Anolis sagrei: one gene and its partners. The protein of the gene in region 3 purifies or fractionates together with the protein of the main gene of each other region. This does not show direct contact. Links are inferred from orthologs where the notes say so. Each region holds a gene or a part of one and is shown on either strand. Other genes may lie near its edges. The genes, in order: POLR2D, RAF1 and PIN1.

Region 1 (4,036 bases), on a different chromosome or scaffold from region 3:
AGAGCACACATTTTAATATAGGATGTAAATATTGTGTTAAGATTATCCAACATGTCATAACAGCCTGTATTTTGTTTTAAATCACTTTCCCTGAAGGTCAACTTACAAAATAACTTTATTCGGGGAATCAAAATAAATTTAACTGCGCACAATAACGTACTCTACTTCCTTTGTTCAGATTAAGGAAACTATTAGGGAAGCTGCTGGGAGAGATCATCTGGAGTTTTGGAGTTTGATGTCAAATTTACGCTGATGACACCCAATTGTATTACTCATTTCCAGCGAAAGCCTAGGGTGCCGTCCTGCCCCTAAACTTGTGCCTGTCTTCAGTAATTGACTCGGCGAGGGCTAATAAGCTAAAGGTAAATCTAGACAAAACAGAGGCACTACTGGTCAGTATTATTATGATGTTCTACATTAGTTGTCACGTTGGCTAATGACAAAAGATTTTATTCTCAGGATTACATACCTGCGAACGCTAGCAATCGTCTCCCGGTTTTTGAAGCGGCTGAAGCGAGCGGTGTAGTTCAGCGTTTTCATGAAGACTTCAGAGAGCTCCTGCTCATCTTCTGCACTCTCATTCTGCTGCTTTCGATGTTCAAGAAGCATGTGCACTTCTGAATTGAGAAGGGTTTCAGCAGTCTCAAACTCTGTAGGTAAAGATGGGTGGAACGGATCAAAAGAAACAGAAAAAGACAGCTTTATGGGTGCTATTTTAGGATTGGTCTGTGTGTGAAGCAGGAATAGGTGGTAGTACTTAAGGTTATTAACAAAAATGAGAAAAACAATAATATGACTGATCCTATGAAAAATACTAAAGAGAAATATCCAGAATATGCACAGAATATAAAATATATAAACAAACTAGCCATCCTCTGCCACACGTTGCTGTGGCCCAGTCTGTGAATATGTGTTTTGTGTATGTATGTATGTGTATATGTGTATATATGTGGTTTCACGCATGCGTTGCAATGTTGCTGTTTTTTTTGCTTTTTAAGTCTTTTCTGCTGTGTTTTCCAGTGTTTTTATGGGTGATGGTCACTCGTTGGCCTGATAGGTGTATTGTGTCCAAATTTGGTCTCAATTTGCCCAGTGGTTTTTGAGTTATGTTAATCTTACAAATGAACACTACATTTTAATTGATAAAGACTAGCCATCCCCTGCCACGCACTGCTGTGGCCCAGTCTGTGTATATGTGCTTTGTGTGTATATATATTTGTGTTTATGTGTATATAAGTGCACATCCATTGTAATGTATTTTTTTAAATTTTTTTTTGCTTTTTAAGTCTGTTCTGCTGTGTTTTCCAGTATTTTTATGAGTGATGGTCACTTGTTGCCCTGATAGGTGTATTGTGTCCAATTGTCCACTGGGTATTACACAGTTGCTCCCCCTCAGCGGTTTTTGTCCCCAGAGTATATTTCCCCACCTGTATGAAGGTCTATATTTATGACCCCGTTCCTTACGAGTTTCTTCCCCACAAACAATCTGCTCCATCTCTATCTCATCCTGATTTTAGTATTTTTGGTATCTAGTTTATTTATTTATTTAGCAATTTTGTATACCGGTCTTCTCCCCTCTATCAGGGGACTCGAGCCGGTTTCCAACAATAAAATCACAAAACAATAATTAAAAACATCATATAACATATTCAATTAAAACGTTATAACAGCAAAATGCAATCACATAATAACAATGGTCAGTCGTCATAGTGAATTCGTTGTCCATCATTCATCATCATCTATCCGATCACAGAAATATTGATTTACTCGTCGAAAGCCAAACCCCATAGCCAGGTTTTCACCCATTTTCTGAATGACAGAATGGAGGGGGCAGTTCTGATCTCCAGTGGGATAGAGTTCCAGAGTCGAGGGGCCACCACCGAGACGGACCTGTCCCTCGTCCCCACCAGACGCGCCTGAGAGGCCGGTGGGACCGAGAGCAGGACGAGGGACAGGTCCTTCTCGGTGGTGGCCTCCAGACGATCTTAACAACCTAGATGGTTCATAGGTGAGAATACATTCGGACAGGTAAACTGGGCCGGAGACGTTTAGGGCTTTATAGGTTAACACCAGCACTTTGAATTGTGCTTGGAAGCTAATTGGCAGCCAGTGGAGCTGGCGCAACAGAAGAGTAGTATGCTCCCTGTACCCTGCTCGTGTTAGCATTCTGGCTGCCGCATGTTGGACTAGTTGGAGCTTCCGGGCAGTCTTCATAGGCAACCCCACGTTGCAGTAATCTAAACTGGATGTAACCAAAGCGTGGACCACTGTGGCCAAGTCAGTTTTATCTTGCACATGCGGCCCGCTCATTGTTATGTTATTTAAAACAAATTATTTTGTTTTATCGTTTTTGTATTCATATGTTGTATGTATTTTACTGGGTTGTTATTGTTTACTTTATTATAATATGCTGTTGGGCTTGGCCTCATGTAAGCCATCCCGAGTCCCCATTGGGGAGATGGTGGCGGGATGTTAAATAAAGTTTATTATTATTATTATTATTATTATTATTATTATGGGTTTTGAGTTATGTTAATCCCACAAACAAACGTTATATTTTTATTTATACAGATTGTAATATGACTATTGGCTGTGGCTAATAAAACTGTTATCCCGATCACATCAGCTACATCTTCAGGTAGTTCACGGCTGTTAGGAATTATGGGAATTGAAGTCCAAAAGACCTGGAGGGCCCAAGTTTGCCCATGCCTGATCTACACTGCACTTTGTCACCATTTAAGTGCCATAGCTGAGTGTTATGGCATCCTGGGAGCTGTAGTTTGACGTGGTGCTAACACTCTTGCGCAGCGAAGCCTAAAGACCTTGAAAAAACTACACCTCCCACAGGACTGAGCCATGGCAGTTCAAGTGGGGCCAAACTGCATTCATTCTACTGCCTGGATGCACACTGCATGTGTTGTTTTGAAAGGATCCCGTAGGTCTGCCTCCTCTGGAGCAACTTCCATGTCCTCCCAAGCCCACGGCGTTTCCCTTCCCTCGGAGCCAGTCGCTCACCTTTGGGGAAGACCAGCTGGGAGGCGTCTTCCTCCACGTCCACGGCCCGCACGTCCGACCCTCCGGCCGCCATTGAGTGCCTTTCCACAGCCCGGAAACTCAAGAAAAGGGAAGAGAAGGGAAGTCGAGCCTCTGCTGCGGGCGCCCCCTTGAGGGCGGGAGAGGACACGCGCTCTTCCGTCACCATCATGTGGCATGAATCCCAGTGCCTTGTTTCAATGTCCAGGGTGCCCCGACACAGCGTTTTTCAACCTAGGGATCGGGACCCCTAGGGAGTCATGAGGGATGTCAGAGGGGTCTCCAAAGACATCAGCAAATTTTCTGTTGGTCATGGGGATTCTGTGTGGGAAGTTTGCCCCCATTCTATCATTGGTGGGGTTCAGAGTGCTCTTTGATTGGAGGCGAACTATAAATCCCAGCAACTACAACTCCCAAATGTCTATTTCCCCACAAACTCCACCAGTACACACATTTGGGCATATTGAGTATTTGTGCCAAGTTTGGTCCAGATCCATCATTGTTTGAGTCCACAGTGCTCTCTGGATGTAGCAGAACTACAACTCTAAAACTCAAGGTCAACGGTCACTAAACTCTTCCAGCATTTTCTGTTGGTCGTGGGAGTTCTGTGTGGGAAGTTTGCCTCAATTCTGTCGGTGGGGTTCAGAATGTTCTTTGATTAGAGGCGAACTATAAATCCCAGCAATTACAGCTCCCAAATGTCAAGGTCTATTTCCCTCAAACTCCACCAGTGCTCACATTTGGGCATATTGAATATTCATGCCAAGTTTGGTCCAGATCCACAGTGCTCTCTGGATGTATGTGAATTGCAAGGTAAGTGCCCACCAAACTCTTCCAGTATTTTCTGTTGGTCATGGGAGTTCTGTGTGAGAAGTTTGGCCCAATTCCATTGTTGGTGGGGTTCAAAACGCTCTTTGATTGTACATGAACTGTCAATCCCAGCAACTACAACTCCCAAATGTCAAGGTCTATTTTCCCCAATCCACCAGTGCTCACATTTGGG
Region 2 (4,036 bases), about 83 Mb from region 3:
AACAGTTAATCCAAAGAGATATATGTTGTGCCTCTAATCTATGTATCTTTTTGTTTGTTTGCAAACTAATTTCTATGTCTAAAGCAAAAGCAGAAATCATGCAGACTTCAAGTGTTGTTATTATTCCAACATTTCTCCACTGGCTAGGACTGCTGTAATCCAACATCATCTCAAACTACATGATTTCCACCTCAGTCTAGAATTAGTTTAGTGCAAAGCCATAGGAGGACCTTGGCTGAGATAAACCAAGAGAGGCCTCTTGTTTAAAGTGTTACTTCAGCTAAAATCAGCATCCCTTCACGATGTATTATTTCGTCAACCCTTTCTGCTCATCTGCAATATGGAGATGATAGTAATTTTGGACTGGTATCAGAACATAAGATGATTATTTATTTTATTTATTTATATTCTGCCAAAAGGGACTCGAGACTAACAAGATATTTTAAACAACACAAGCTATGTTATAGTGCACCAGACCCTTGCTTCATGTAACCAAAACCCATCCATTTTGAGTGGCAGCTGCTCTCCAGAATTTTATGCAGATTTTCCCCTAGTTCTACTTGGTGTTGCGAGAGAAGGAAACTTGGAGCTCCTGAATACAAAACATCAATTACTAAGTTGTAACTCTGTGCATTAGAAAACACCGGGGGACCTGTGGACCTCTATAGCTTTCTAGACTCGCATTCCCATCAGCCACAGTCAGCCTGACATGAATTGAACTATGACGGAAGCAGTCGTTGATTAAGTACTGGAAACTCCCAAGTTCCTCATTCTAGCTGTAAAGTTTTGTTATAAGGATTCATTAGATGTATGTGAAATGTATGTGAAATATGTGAAAATCTCACATATATTTGGGAGATCAGTATTTGAATTCCAACTCAGTGATAGAATCCCACTACGAAGCACTGAAGTCTGTGCTGAGTTGTGGCCTTTGTAAGGGTCATTGATCACATCTGGGGTTTGGTTCCAGAGCCACTTGTAGAGACTGGTCACCAAAATCTGTAGATGCTCAAGTTCCGTTACATACAATGGTGTAGTGAAATGGCATCATTTATATAAAATGTCAAAATCAATTTGTGGAAACTGGGAGGTAACTGTACTGTTTACAGAAATGCAACTTCCAGGTACTAAATGCAAAGTAACAACAAAGACTAATATGGTGGTCTCTTGAGCTGTAGAAAGCATCTGCCATGAACTTCAATTTAAATAAGAAAATATGAATCTGTTGTATACCGAGAACCAATTTCAGGATAGATGGGATTATGGTAGATCCAGAAATTGAAACCCCTGTTTATCCCAAACACCTTGAATTCATGCTAAGGTTCGAGATAGTCATGGGGATTATGATTATGGAATGGTCCCACTTTGTCATCTTTCTGCTCCAGCTCAGGTCCATGACTCAACACTTGGCCAGATGACAGAAAATCACTTTGTGGAAAGATGGCAATGAAGGAGCTACATCTCACATCCACAAAGAGTCCGTGTCTCATGTTTGTTCTTCAAGTTAGATTCTCTGTGTTTAAATGGGCATCACCTATTTAGCATAGAGTTTGGAACACTATCTTTAAAAAAATTAAGTAAAACTAATCCATTAAAAGTAATGGTGTTTCAAATCCTTTCATTTGTCCTGGACACACCAGCAAGACTGGCCACCTGAAAAAGAGGACAATAGTTGTATGGAAGAATGAGTTTTGTCAAGTGGTATCTACTGAAATGGTATCTTCCACATAACATGGGGCATTTTTTTTAATGTGGCTACCGTGACTCTATTTCATAGTTTTAGAGCCCCCCCCTCCCCCCCAAAGCTTATGCACTTTGTATATGGTCAGGTAAACTCAGTACTGCTAAGCTTGACCACATGTGACAAAGGGCAATTTTGGCACAGAGCAAGTGATATCTAGGGCTGTTTTTAGTCTGCTTTTTATAAAATAGCATTTTAATGTGTTTTTAAGCATTTTATCCTTGCATTGTTTTAATTGATTTTATTCACCCCTTGTAAGCTGGGAGGTGATACAGAAATACTTGTTTAATAGATGAATATGTTTCTAGGTTCTCATACTCTTTGCAAAAGTAATTTCTAGAGACGTATTGTAACTCCAGCCTCTTTCCCCTCAGTTTAATGTACTGGCCTAAAAATTAAATTTGATGCCTCAATTACAAATACAGGCATTACATGTAAACACTGTCTAATTACCATGTGTGAAAATGATTACTTCTCTCTATAGACAGCTCTGGGATTTTCTCAGACAGAAGCCAAGTCTCCCAGACTTAATTAGATTTTTTTTTAAAAAAACTTCAATAAAAATATGTCAGTGACAAAATAAGTTACTCCAATGAAGAGCAAATACCAGTTTTAATAATTATAGTAATCTAAAGGCATAATTGGGGAACACAATGTAAAGATCCACAACCACTTAATATGTACTAATTTCTTCTCAGGAATGAATCAGATCAATAAATAATCACAAAACATATTACAATCACCACAAAGTTGTAATTCCTTGCCGGTTTGAGAACTCATTATTTATCTAGTAGAGACTTTTTGCCTTTTGCTCTGACAAAGTGTAAACAGAGCTATCATCCCACTTTCAAGACTTAACAAGAAAATATACCCCAGACTGGAAAGACTGTGAGAATTATTGTTTACTACACAGTAGTCTTCAGCCAAATTTTCACTTACCTATTGAAGTTTTGAAAGCATGAACTTTTCAAAGGCCGATTAAAAGTTAATTGGAAAGGCTGCATACAGGGCCATCCAGTTTGCTTCAAGGATTAATAAGCAGCAAAAGAGCCTAGGCAGAACCGAAAAGAAGGTGCAGTGGATGTTGACTCCAAGGAGGCAGATGGGAGGAAGAGCCCGATTGAGATGGACAGCTCAGTTTCCCACCCCCAGATTCCCATGCAGATTAGCCAGGCACTCTGGTAGATCACATGGCTGCAACAGCCTAAAAAAAGACCACCCACCTACCCCCCAACAGCCAAATAACCTCCAGTCTATTCACGTTTTCTTTGGAGGAGCTACATGCCACAGAGCCCTCCCTTGAAACACTCCCTTCTCTTGTCCCCTCTCTGGCTCCATTTTAATAGCATGTTTTGCTTGCTTTGGCTTTCTGCTTTTCTCACTCTTTTATTTTTAGATTGTCAATATAATACAGTGGCTTTCAGAGGTTGCATGACACCATCCATGTAACAGGATCTCAGGCTTCTGAGTGCCAGGAATTACGGGCCTCCATCAGCATACTGCTGAGGGCATCAGCTTTACTATGCTGGGTGAAACAAAAGTATCTGAAAACTCCACTTGAAATGAAGACTTAAAGAAGGGAATAGTAATTCAGTCAATGGCACTATAGCACTCTAGCTATTTGATATTTCTCCATTAACTGCAAATCCCAAGATTCCAGAAGATAGAGCCATGAAAAATTAAAGTACAATCATGGTGCTATATTTGTACTGAGCGAAGGGGCCATGGAGAAATAAATTGTGACTATGTGGTTCATTGGTGCAAGGGAGAGCAAGAGTTCCAGTAAAGCAGTTTTCCGAAACTTGGCATGAATTGGACCACAATTCATATCATCCTCTTCCTGTGAATGAGATTAGGTAGGACCGGGCTGCTGCAATACAGCAATATGCAGTCAGGAAAGTAAGTGTTGAAGTGTGGACACAGCATGGCATAGGGTGCTATCCCACTGAAGAGGCCAGAATAGCCATCCTGTCTCATTCAGTGTTAATATCATTCTGTAATCAGATGCTTGGATTACTCACACATTCACACTTGTCCATTCCTTCCCCGTCTGTAAATTACTAGCACATGTTTCCCAGTATCGCACAGTCCATCACTGTACTATATGTTTCCAATGGCCATGTCCCCTTGCTGCCATCCCCCTTTTTTCCCTTTTGCTGCAAGTTGTGCAAGAGCAAAACGGTGGGTTTTTGAATTTTATGAATGATCCCATTATTATTAATTATTATTAAGTTTATTTACACTCTACTTGCTCTCTTCACAAAGAACACTCAGGACCTCATCACACTAGAGAAT
Region 3 (4,036 bases):
AAATGAGGGCCATGCCTAAAAGTGAGTCACCAACATGAAATGTTTGGAAAGCTGTGGTAGGATTATAAACAAACAACTGATTATAAACAAACAACTGAAAACGTGTTGTCAAAGGCTTTGGAAATCACTGGGTTGCTGTGAGTTTTCCAGCCTGTATGGCCATTTTCCAGAAGCATCCTGACGTTTCACCCACATCTATGGCAGGCATTCTCAGTTTTGAGGTCTGTTGGGAACTAGGTAAATGGGGTTTATATATCTGCGGAATACATATGCACCACAGATATATAGGGAAAAAAAACTTGTCTATTTGAGGCATATGTGATTGCTGCAATTAGCCACCTTGATTAGCATCGAAAAGCCTTGCAGCTTCAAGGCTTGGCCTCTTCCTGCCTGGAGGAATACTTTGTTGGGAGGTGATTAGCTGGCCCTGATTGTTTATTGTCGAATTCCTTTTTGAAAAATATATAATTTCTTAGATTTTTAAAACCACCTCCACACACACACATAAGTGCTTAAAAAGCAAACCAGCAGCAGCACCCTATATTATCTGCAGACAGGGGACATTTTACGACGCTACTGTGTGCAATGGGACTTGAGCCAAACCAAGGGGCCTACTGCATTTCCGAATTGCCTCCGCCCAAGAAGGCACTGGGATTGGTTTGCAGTAACGTTTCAAATGCGCATTTCCGAGCCAGAACTAATACGACTGGTGCCAATATTTCGATCAGCAGAGAGTTTGTCTTATTCCCGGTTCTGGAGGCCATTGGTGTACATCTGCAGTGCGGTGGTACGCTTCGACGTGGTGACTTGAGTAACCACGACGCCTATCCTTCCAATCCATACGCGACGGGGCTCTGTATAGCTTTCCAAAAGCTAAATGTGAGCGCTTTGCTTCGCGTCTGGCCTTTTTTGTCCCTTCGCAGCCTCCGTCGTCTCACCTTTGGCGTGCCAAGGCAGCCAAGTACCCTCTCTCGCGCGGTCTCTAGCTCTAGCCAATAGGAGCGCGACGTCTTCACCCAGTTGGCCAATCGTGAGAGAGGCCGCCGGAGCCATTGTGCGCGTGCGGGGTCGTTGCCAGGAGAAGTGGGCGTGGCCGCCTCTGCGCTTGGTGCTGTGAGAGGAGGGAAGATGGCGGAGGAGGAGAAGCTCCCCGCGGGCTGGGAGAAGCGCATGAGCCGCAGCTCCGGTACCGCCGTGGACTGGGAAGCGGGCGGGAGCGTGGGTGGGTGGGCACCGAGCTGTGGGGGCGTCCTGGGAGGGTGTCTGTGCGTGAAAGTCCGGCCTCGGGAAGAAGGAATGTCGGAAGGGAGCAGCCTTCCTAGTGACTTAGATTGAGGGGCCTGCGTGGCGGCCTTCCCCCCGAGAGAGTGTCGAAGGGGAAAAATCAGTTAATTAAATCAACAGGGATTACAAAGAAGGGTTTCCCCCCCTCTGCAAGAATGTAGGGGAAAGCTATGACGGGGAAAGGAGGGTTACTATCTGTGGCTCCTCAGAGATAAGCCAAACCCCATAGCAAAGAGTGGTGTTTCTGGGGGCTCTTTCTCTCCATTCTCATTTTGTATTTTCTTATACAGGCTGAGTCCCCCTTATTGGCAATTCTGAAATATACCAAATCCCAAAAATGTCCACGTTGGTGGCTGAGATAGTGATGCCTTTGCTGATGGTTCAATGAACACAAAACTTCGTTGCATTATTGCATACACAACATTATTAAAAAGTAGATTGTATAAAAATGAGCTCCAGACTATGTGTAGAAGGGGTATATGGAACATCTATGAATTTCGAGTTTAGACTTGGGTTCCATCTCCATGACATCTCATGTATGTGCAAGTATTCCATTCTGAAATCCAAAACACTTTTGGTCCCTTTCATTTTGGGTAAGGCAACTTACATCTCTCAGCCTTTATTCTCTTCGTTCCTCCCTGAATTGTGAAAGGCCAGGGCAATGTACAACCCTCTGCACTCTCAGCCATTCCTAGCACCTCTTTCTTTACTTACAGCTGTCCTTGCTGTCTTTGTGGACACTGTTTTTATATAATAAAAGTGAACTGATAATTAAGTGTTCTCATTTTATTTTTTTTATTGGTGTTTGCCTTGAATGAAGAGAAGAACTTCATGTCACTTGCTCATAAGGAGCCCCCTGCCCCCAAAGATCCAGGCCTTTCACAAAGGACATTTTTAGAGGTTGCTCTTATTATAACAGCAGATGTATGTAGATTTTAACTTTGCACTTTATCTAAATCCCTTTAAATTGTTTATGAATGAAGCTTTTTGGGTTGATCTATGAGCTAAAATTCTTATCAGAGCCTATTGGACCACATTTAGTTTTCTTTATCCAGGGGATTTGCAGCTGTTTTGGAATACATATTATTGCCCAGACTGATTATAGCTGCTGGTATTTGGCCTCATCACACTAGAGAAAAATCCACTTAAAATCTGGTTTCTGCCTCCAGAATTCTGGGGTATGCAGTTTAGGGAGAAGCCTCACTAAACTACAAACCCCAGAATTCTGCAGGAGGCAGAAACCAGATTTTAAGTGGATTTTTTCTCTAGTGTGATGAAGTGTTTGGATTCCAATACATTTAAAGACTCCTACATGCTAATGGCAAGCCTTTTTCTTTTGAACAGTAATTACATGGGCAGCCCATTCAGCTCATCAGTAGGATTTGATGGCAACATCCCAACCAAGAAATTAGTTCTTGATAGCATGCTGTCTTTAAACACTCACGCTGTACTTGGCCATTATGACTAATAGCATCTTACAAATCTCTCATCTGTCAGTTAGGTTAAGTTTCCTTTAAAGCAGTTGGGCAGGGACCATCACCATGTGTTGTGAAAGTAAATTTCCTAAGCCAGAAGTGGTAAAGCTCACACCTGGGACCAGACAGAAATTTCTGTCCTCACCTCCCTCAGATGGTCATGTCTCCTGTATTACATCATGCCCTCTTTTGCATTCTATATGCTAAAGTGTCTTTTATAATTCTTTGATAAAATATGCTGATATTTTGATCCCATCCTTTGTATCCACTAATCACTAGAAACACTTTTTGTATTTGAATTTGGACTCCAGGCTGGAAGACGTTTCTAATATCTGCTTGTAATGTGTTTTTTTGTAGTATAATCTATAGCATGTAAAAATCACTTGCCACACTCTGATGTTATGACAAACAGAAAATGCATCTTGACACTCTTCTTCTGAATCATAGAATCATAAGAGTTGGAAGGGACCACAGGGGCCATCCGGTCCAACTCCTTGCCATTCAGAAAAAGCACAGTCACTTTACTTCTATCCTTCCTTTTTCCAAGACCAAGATTTATGCTTACACATTAAAACATTTATAATTAAATACATAAAAAGTTATCATTAAAACCAAGTGAAACTATTAATCATGTTAAAAACATACACTCTAAAATGATTTTAATAGTTAATGCAATTCAAAGCAATACAGACAGTAAAGTCCTTTTTTTTTTTTTTGAAACCTTCAGTTCTAAAAGCCTATTGGAATAGAAAAAGCTTTGCCTGCTGATGAAAGCACAACAGCAAGGAGATGGCCATCCTGACCTCCTTAAGCAGGGACTTCCAAACTCTAGGGTTGCCCTTTCTCATATTACCTCTAATTATAACCTTTTAAGTGTGTAAATTTTTTGCAGCAACTCACATAGCTCCCCGCATCTTCCACTGTTCCTTACAGTTGACTATGTAGACTGATTGGAACTGTAGGCCTAAACTTGGGAAAGGCCATGGCTTCACCATTCTTGTGTTACATAATGTATTTGCTGTGATTTGTGTGTATATAACAGAGAAGGCAGGGGGTGTGGAGTGTTATTGCCATGACATGTGGTTACACATACATTAGAACTTACTTGCTATTTTCTTGTCTATTCACCAATGTGGAGAGATCCTTTCGGAGGTCTCCACACTGATTGAGTTTATAGTATCCTATAAGTATTTTGCCTCCATGCCTGTTTACCTCAAACTCTAGGCCAGTGGTTCTCAACCTGGGGTTCCCAGATATTTTTGGCCTTCAACTCCCAG

Evidence for each region.
Region 1: the proteins of PIN1 (region 3) and POLR2D purify together in Homo sapiens (co-immunoprecipitation; 3 studies listed by BioGRID and IntAct, with this or other methods). This does not show direct contact. The link is inferred for Anolis sagrei from reciprocal best matches to the Homo sapiens genes PIN1 and POLR2D.
Region 2: the proteins of PIN1 (region 3) and RAF1 purify together in Homo sapiens (co-immunoprecipitation; 3 studies listed by BioGRID and IntAct, with this or other methods). This does not show direct contact. The link is inferred for Anolis sagrei from reciprocal best matches to the Homo sapiens genes PIN1 and RAF1.

The regions. Positions count from the first base shown.
Region 1 is NC_090023.1:220,845,361-220,849,396, reverse strand, and holds the start of POLR2D (DNA-directed RNA polymerase II subunit RPB4), read right to left. Parts: upstream 3,131-4,036; 5' UTR 3,089-3,130; coding exon 3,016-3,088; intron 651-3,015; coding exon 470-650; intron 1-469. UniProt on the Homo sapiens protein: Core component of RNA polymerase II (Pol II), a DNA-dependent RNA polymerase which synthesizes mRNA precursors and many functional non-coding RNAs using the four ribonucleoside triphosphates as substrates.
Region 2 is NC_090022.1:64,263,734-64,267,769, reverse strand, and holds the start of RAF1 (RAF proto-oncogene serine/threonine-protein kinase), read right to left. Parts: upstream 2,844-4,036; 5' UTR 2,681-2,843; intron 1-2,680. UniProt on the Homo sapiens protein: Serine/threonine-protein kinase that acts as a regulatory link between the membrane-associated Ras GTPases and the MAPK/ERK cascade, and this critical regulatory link functions as a switch determining cell fate decisions including proliferation, differentiation, apoptosis, survival and oncogenic transformation.
Region 3 is NC_090022.1:147,610,159-147,614,194, forward strand, and holds the start of PIN1 (peptidyl-prolyl cis-trans isomerase NIMA-interacting 1), read left to right. Parts: upstream 1-1,070; 5' UTR 1,071-1,128; coding exon 1,129-1,186; intron 1,187-4,036. UniProt on the Homo sapiens protein: Peptidyl-prolyl cis/trans isomerase (PPIase) that binds to and isomerizes specific phosphorylated Ser/Thr-Pro (pSer/Thr-Pro) motifs.